Linked DNA regions of Xenopus tropicalis. The main gene of each other region encodes a partner of the protein of the gene in region 2 in a complex. Links are inferred from orthologs where the notes say so. Each region holds a gene or a part of one and is shown on either strand. Other genes may lie near its edges.

What was found.
Region 1: the proteins of galr1 (region 2) and galanin peptides are in contact, whole or in part, in a cryo-EM structure (PDB 7WQ3), measured with the Homo sapiens proteins. The link is inferred for Xenopus tropicalis from reciprocal best matches to the Homo sapiens genes GALR1 and GAL. Residues at the interface, in NP_001471.2 of Homo sapiens: Glu32, Gln92, Thr94, Val95, Tyr96, Leu98, Pro99, Thr100, His112, Gln174, Phe177, Arg180, Gln184, Phe186, Cys187, Trp188, Glu189, Gln190, Ile266, His267, Ala270, Phe275, Leu277, Ser281, Phe282, Arg285; in NP_057057.2 of Homo sapiens: Gly33, Trp34, Leu36, Asn37, Ser38, Gly40, Tyr41, Leu42, Leu43, Gly44, Pro45, Val48.

What each region holds. Positions count from the first base shown.
Region 1 is NC_030680.2:37,077,318-37,081,151, reverse strand, and holds part of galanin peptides, read left to right. Parts: intron 1-1,729; coding exon 1,730-1,810; intron 1,811-3,606; coding exon 3,607-3,661; intron 3,662-3,834. UniProt on the Homo sapiens protein: Endocrine hormone of the central and peripheral nervous systems that binds and activates the G protein-coupled receptors GALR1, GALR2, and GALR3.
Region 2 is NC_030682.2:98,601,312-98,605,145, forward strand, and holds the end of galr1 (galanin receptor type 1), read right to left. Parts: intron 1,308-3,834; coding exon 990-1,307; 3' UTR 349-989; downstream 1-348. UniProt on the Homo sapiens protein: Receptor for the hormone galanin. The activity of this receptor is mediated by G proteins that inhibit adenylate cyclase activity.

The DNA.
Region 1 (3,834 bases), on a different chromosome or scaffold from region 2:
TCCAGCTTTTATCTGTATCTGTTTATTCTTTTTGCCATTCATTATGGTTTTTCTTTCTTTACTCCTGTCTTTAAAGTAAAGATGTCCAGATCCTTTAAACAATATTATAAACTTACACATTCCCATAGAAGTGTGAAATGTAAAGGAAATCCAAGTCCTGACAAGATATAGCTTCTCTCTCAGTACTGACTAGGGATAACCTTGGGGTGTTGCTCTTGATCATGGTTAATCTGGAGATGTTCTTCAGGTGTTTCTTATGGGCCATGTCATACTATGCTTCCTTGTTTATTAGACCCATCCCTTTCTGAGGGATTTTATTAGCAAAACTGTGAGAGGCGATAAAGATAGCTGATGTGTGCCAGCCTAAAACAATATCAGCTTAAAAATTACTAACTGGGGTATTAATAAGTTCAATATAAATATTTATTATTTATATTTATTACATATCTATACTTCAAAAACTATCTCAATGCAGCAAGGCAAACACACTGCCCATGGCATAATACAGATATGGGTGTAAAAATTGTTATTGAAAAATCACTTTTTTTTCTTTTTATGAAAAAAAAACAATCTTTTCAATTTCAACCCCTCCAAACCTACATACCTATGCACACCTGTGCATACACTCAAATCCATAATTATGTATATATACATATAGAGAACTAACTGTAGACTTGAATATTATGCTCTTCCAAGAAGACATCCAAGCCACTCTCAAAGAGCTGTACAACATTAAACCTCATTTGCTAGTTTGCTGGTATGGAACTTGTGTTATTCTGCACAATTTGGTATCATCAGCAAAAATAGTGACAGTAAATACAATGCCAATCTCGAGGTTATTTAAGGGAAATACCATGGGCATCTTTGAGACACCCCTATAAAAAACCTGGTCAAATTAGAAAATGTTTTCTAATTTACCACCAGTTTTTGTAATTTATCCTTCAGCCAGTTCTCTATACAAGCACAAATAGTATGTTTTTGGTGAGTATCCCTTATCTTAGTAAGTAACCATCTGCTTTAGGGCTCTGGTACACGGGGAGATTAGTCGCCCGCGGCAAAACTCCCTGCTCGCGGGCGACTAATCTCCCCGTGTACCAGAGCCCTTAGCAAAACCTAAATAGAAAATATCCACTGTCTCCCCAATTTCTAATCTTCTAGGCTAGCCACTGATGTCAAACTAACAGGCCTATAGTTTTTAGAACAAGAACAGGTTCCCCATTGAACAATAGAAACACATAAGCAATTCGCTAGTCTCTTTGTACAACACCAGATATCAAAGAACCCTGGGAGATTAGTAGAGTGTCTTAAGTAATTACAGAGCTGAACCCTTTTACTACCCTGGGATGAATTCCATCAGGTCCTGGACCTTTACATTATTATAAGTCTCTTTTGAACTTCTTACTCAGTCAACCAGCCATTGATTTGTGTTTATTATCCATCAGTCCATCAGTTGTGTAAACAGATAAAATAACAGATTAAAATATCTTCTTTTTCCCTGCTCCCATCAACTAATTTACCCCCCTCTGATACCAAGGGTCTCACCACATCTTGCTACATTTTTTTTACCATTTATATATTTTAAAAAGTATGGGATTTTTATTGGCTCTGGCCTGTTAACACATATCAGACAGGCCTTATTAAAATCAGGGACAAATGGAATATAGAATGTTTCAAATAAAAAATGTTAATGTCAGTTAAATACATAAACAATCGTAATATTTTTTTTCAGATGCAAAAGTGCAACTGTCTGCTATTGGTATCTCTAGTCCTGTGTGCTACAATCTCACAGACATTCGGACTAGTTTTAACAGTAAGTTCAATTTGTGATATATTGTGGTGCATGTGTGCATGTCTCCATCCTTACTGCATTTCTTCCTTGTTGTATATGTGTAGTTCCACTTATTAAACAAAGAATTTATTTTCAGATATTGATACAATAGACCCCCGAGAAATAAAGTCCCCTTTACTAAGCAAAGTTAAGGGGCACCACAAGAAAATATTCTGAAAGGTTTATTAAACTTACCTCAGTGAGGACCCACATCAGATGACCAATAATTTTGGGCTTCCAAACAGCTGCTATCACTACTGGCCATATTATTAGGCCCTGGCTTTTGAAAGTAAAACTGATTACACACAGGAGCAATGAGATCAGCTTGGTTAGTCCATAGGCAATAACGCTACAGGGAAGCAGCTGAAAGAAGGTACTGTACAGTATGTACATGATTTCAACAGGTAACCAATCACAGGTAAAGTTAGACCAAAATATTCTGTATAGACAAGCCAAATTTTAACTGGACATGCCTTGGACTAAACTTCTATCTGCTCTGTTATGGCTGGAATGAGATTATAAAACTGTTAAAGGAGGACCTTTAATAAATTCAGCTACTAAGATAAGATAAGGCTGCAAAAATACATTATACATAGGGCTTACTATAGCTGTTCAGCACAACAGCAACTTTATAACAGTTATGAATTATATCTCTGCATCTGTTCTATAAAGCTTTTCTCTTTTCCATGATAGTAGACCATTCCACTAGTGTATTCTTAAGGGTCGCACATTCAACTTGGAACATTTTGCAGATCATTCAATAAGTTAATACTTGTAGGACACAATATATATCCTTTGTAATAAGGAAAGTGTATTTAGGTGTATATAGGTAACATGTAATCTGGCAACCTAACAAAGAGCAGGTAAACCATTCCATTTGTTTAGGAATGAGCAGCTATAAAGTAAGCATAAGTGGTTTGGGTGCTTTAACCTGTATTCCTGGCACTAACTATAGCTGTTATGTTTAGAGGCTCAGCAGAAATAAAGCCCTGGTTAACACTGCAGTTTAACTGACTGACTGGAGAGTAGCTTAAAACAAGGGCATAATAGAGGAGACAACAGACCCTGAGGCTGCAGAGAAGGGCCAGCTGGAAAATGGCTCATAGGGGTCAGTATCTGACAAACATACAACTCCATATATGTGCCCCCCCCCCATAGGACCATGTGAGTTAACTGACTCTATATCTATACTGTCTTTATGCTGGGGACGGTACCAATAGTAACATGCTGAAATATTGACCACAGATGAAACGCTGCATGTTGTTTAACCCAAATCCTGCATTTCAGTGAAGTCCCTTGGGTACAAATCTCATACAGAAAAATGGATTCAGTTAACTCATAAAAGCCAGTTGATGGGAATGCAATAGAGAAATACCGTGAGCAAGGGCACACACAAAGGGGCAGATTTATCAGAATATGAGATTAGAGCTCAGCACAGAAAAATTAACCTACTTTCTTTTCATTCCTATGGGCTCTTTAGAAGCATATTTATTTGGGTAAACATTAGAGTTCACAATTTGTTAAATAAGCTTCTAAAAATCCCGTAGGAATGAATAGAAACTAGCTATGTCATTGTAATTGAATGCAACGGGTGAATGGGCTTTTCTACACAATGAAATTGTTGTGTTTTTTTCTTTGTTTCCCTTGGGCACACAGCTATTCATATTGTGACATATGATACAAACATCTTATATTTTTTTATTACTGCTTTTTTGCTATATGTGTAGTATAATACAACCAACGTATTAATTTAAAGATTTCAATATTTCGCATAACAGGGAAAAGAAAAGCGTGGCTGGACGCTGAACAGTGCGGGATACCTTCTAGGGCCACGTAAGTGCTTAAACCCTATATACTCCACTGTATGTTTCAATGTAAAGCTTCACAGTTATCTCCGAAACTACAGTAGATGAATTAAAGTCTGATGAGCCACTGAGAGCAAAGAACAGAAAGAGTATATAGACTTAACCTGTGTTTGGGCTTTAGTGTAAATTTGCAAGTGAAAT
Region 2 (3,834 bases):
CCATTATGACTTTCGTGAATTGTTGCGACTTTTTCATAGCCATTACGACTTTCGCAAATTGTCGCGACTTTTTCGTATTGAGCGATCGAACGCTTTTCGGACGTTTGTGGATTAGTAAATGTTCCCCATACAATTAGCCTGTATGGTGAAGAACATTAAATCAAGTGTAACTTAATCCTATTTCATAGCATAGATATGTGCAACACCTTTGTGTACTATAAAATCCTTCCTGTTGTGTACTATGCAGCTGGAAAGCACAGATAGTATATACAAACTTTTAGAAGCTTTATTATGATATACTGATGAATTTGTGTGTGTGTTCACATTTTTGCCACTATTTTTTACATTTTCAGAAAAGTTTTTATTTATATGCTTACAATACACAAGAGCCACAGATAACCTGTAAACTATATCCCTATAAACAGTGCTGAGTGAAATAGCTTTTGCATTATATTAAAAAAAGTATCCCTATGTTGTAAAATAGGACAATATTAGAAGTCCACTCCAAGTTCCAAGATCCACAGAAAGGATTGAGGCCTCATATGACCATAGAATATCTAATATCCTTACATTATTACAATAGGGGTACATTATTGTCTATACATTTTCCTTTTCCAGCAGCGCAAATATTTTAAAAGTGTGTGTTTATATATACATATAATTAGCATATTTAAAAATCCCATATTTGCATTCCAGCATGGAAAACACATGATAAACATGCACACATTGTACACTGCATGACTTAAAATAATATATGATACAGTTTAAAAGCAACAGAGATCTCTCTCCTATGCACATGGTTATCAAGAGTGCCAGTCTTTGGTTTCCCACCTAATGTAACCTATAGCTTTGAGGGGATGTAGAAAATGACTGAAGCAATCACCACCTACTGATGTACTGTACAATGAGACTAAGTACTTGTAGTTTGATTGGATGAATTTGTGCTTCCAAACCGTGCACTTGGTTTTAGCGTATGGCATTCATTTGGGTCAGACATGAGTGCAGTTCGTTGATGGTGGAGTGTCCAACTTGCTTTTTATTTCTTTCGCATCACTCTGGTTGGAGTCGCAACCAATCTGGCACTTAAATACCTGCTTGTAGGCCTTTCGGAAATTTTCGGAGAGGAAAGCGTAAATGATAGGGTTCACTGAAGAGTTGCTATATGCGAGACAGTGGGCAACTATTCTGAAGACAAAAGAGGCTTGGGTGAGAGGAAAGCTTCCATATTCTACCCACAAATGGATCACATGATGAGGAAGCCAGGAGATTCCAAATACCACAACCACAACAAGCACAGTCTGTGCTGTCTGTATAAAATAGGAAAAAAGAACAATGATTATTAACATGTGATACATGAAACAGAAAACGTTATGTTCAAAATTATGTTCATACCTATTATACTATCAATTATTATACACAAATGTAAAGAGCATGGCATTCAATAAGCACCTTGCTTTGTGTGCATTCAATTAAGGTCAGATAATTATAGAGAAGGCACATATGCTTGTCATTTTCCTGCTTCCAATATATGTTAAGACTGTGACTTTAGTTTCCTTTCATTCATTACAGGCCATTTCTAATGTCTGGATCTTGTGTGACACATTCATTAAAAGTATTGAGTATGCATATGGGTTGGCTCTTTGCTTTCACTCATGCAATATGTTTGTAACTGATGACAGCCTGAGCATCTTTATATTTGACATTACCATCTGGTCAGACAATTATTATACATAACAACATACAGATTTGTAAGTAAAAGTATGCCATAAATACCATTGTAATTAGTATCTTGTGATGTTAATCCTTATGGGGGGGTAGCATAAATCATTACAAAGCAAAGCAAGTGCTAGAGGCAATGGTTCGGTTTATTAATGAAGAAAGATGAGGGAGAGAGATTAGTTGTTGAAAGTAGAAAAGAGATAGAAAGTCTACTTTTTAAGCACATAAAATCTGAGAAAACAACAAACAGAAGCAGGAAACATAATGATTGATTTAGTCCCACACTAGAATATAACAATGCCCATTATGCCTAATGCTTGTTGTACTGATACCTACAAAAAGATCTATATACATTTACTGCTTGTATAAGTGCACGTCTTGTTTCTATTAAACTACAGAGTTCATGTACAACCACAAAGCAGCCCAGCAATTCCCCTGCAGATAGTTGCATGTAAAAACATCTTTCATTAAGGGTGCTTCTCGCACTTCTGTATAGTTGTGATTGGCATTGCTCAGTCCTTCCTGCCTTCCTTACACTCGACTGTGCCTATTGATGCAAGGGAACCCAGGGTCTACTGCCACCTACTGACCAAGAGGTAGCTCCAGGGTGCCCTTAGTGCTAGTTTCAACAGGATCAGTGCACCTGCAACTGAAAAATCACAATGCAGCAAGAATTCTGGGGTAAAATGCTGCACTGAGGAAGAATATGGGGGGTTATTCATAGATGCTGTTCCCAAACACTATGTTCATTGATAAGGGTAAAACTAGACCTATTAGCATGCAATGCAAAAACATTGGAGTGCCCCCAGTCCCTGTGTAGATCAACTGCACTCTTCACCCATATGCAAGTGCCCTTGCCAGTACATCCAGTGTGAGAAGTAGGGTGAAGTTGATATTACTGTTGGCAAGCTTAATAATCTTGATGATTCAGAATACTCTGTACTCTTCTGCTACAGTCAGCTTCCTCTCACCTAAAACAAAACCTGCTGCTAACATGTTTATTATGGCCCCTTTAAGCAAAGAATGACTTACAAAATACATCCTGCTAACACTGTATAGCTGTACAATTCTGTTTAACTCCTCTACAACTCACTTTATCACTTTACGTGTCTACATTGTTTCTTGGTGCATCTCCTCCATTCCTCTCAGAGCCTTCTTCTTCCACACCACCAACATCCAATGCCATTTCAAACCTTTTTCTCTTGCTGCCCCTTACCTATGGGATTCTGCCCTTGAATACCTTAGTCCTGAAATCTACCTCTTGGAACACTAGCATTGTATCAGTCTTTACATTTATGGGGCAATGTCTCAGTCATCATAGCTATCTATCCATTTGTGGCTAGAAGTTCCCTCCAGCCCATTAAAAGAAGAAGAAGAGTCCTCCTTTCTTCTTTTTATCTTAACACATGGGATGTAAGCTTTGTAGCTTTTTATATTTATTTTTATAATTACTGCAATGTTTGTACTATTAAAATGTACATCACAAGGAGCACTACAATAATAAATAGAAACTGTACATATGTATATAAATGCATGCATGCAATTAGAAAAATATTTTAGTAGTTTATAGTTATTCCTACAGTCGTTTTACTTAGAGTACATGTAACTTTTTAATACATATAAAAATTGAATTAGAAGCCCCAGGTGGCATTCATTCCCGGCTAGAAAAAGGCTTTTAACTCTCCAGTATACATACAAAACTGAATCTTGATTTGGTTTTAATAATTTAGACACTTAACAATATTCAAGGGAAAATCAATTAGATTTCAAATGGGTATTCATACGTGGAAGTCTAAAATATAATGATTTCTGACATTTTTTTCTGAATAGGACAATATAGCATGCTGATCTGCCAATATTGATATTTCACATACTATTCATAAATGATTTAGTCCTAGAAACTTAAATCTGAATGCGTTTTTGTAAATACATGTACTTAGTTGTGGAGAATTTCTAGTTATACTGACACTTAAAGGCAACACGAAGGTTGTCCACTAAACCATTTATATATATTCAATATACAGTTCACTAAAGATACAGTATGTTTTTTTTAATAAGGACAAAAACAAGAGGTCTTCTGCAACTCTAGCTTGGTTGACAGAACAACATAGAATG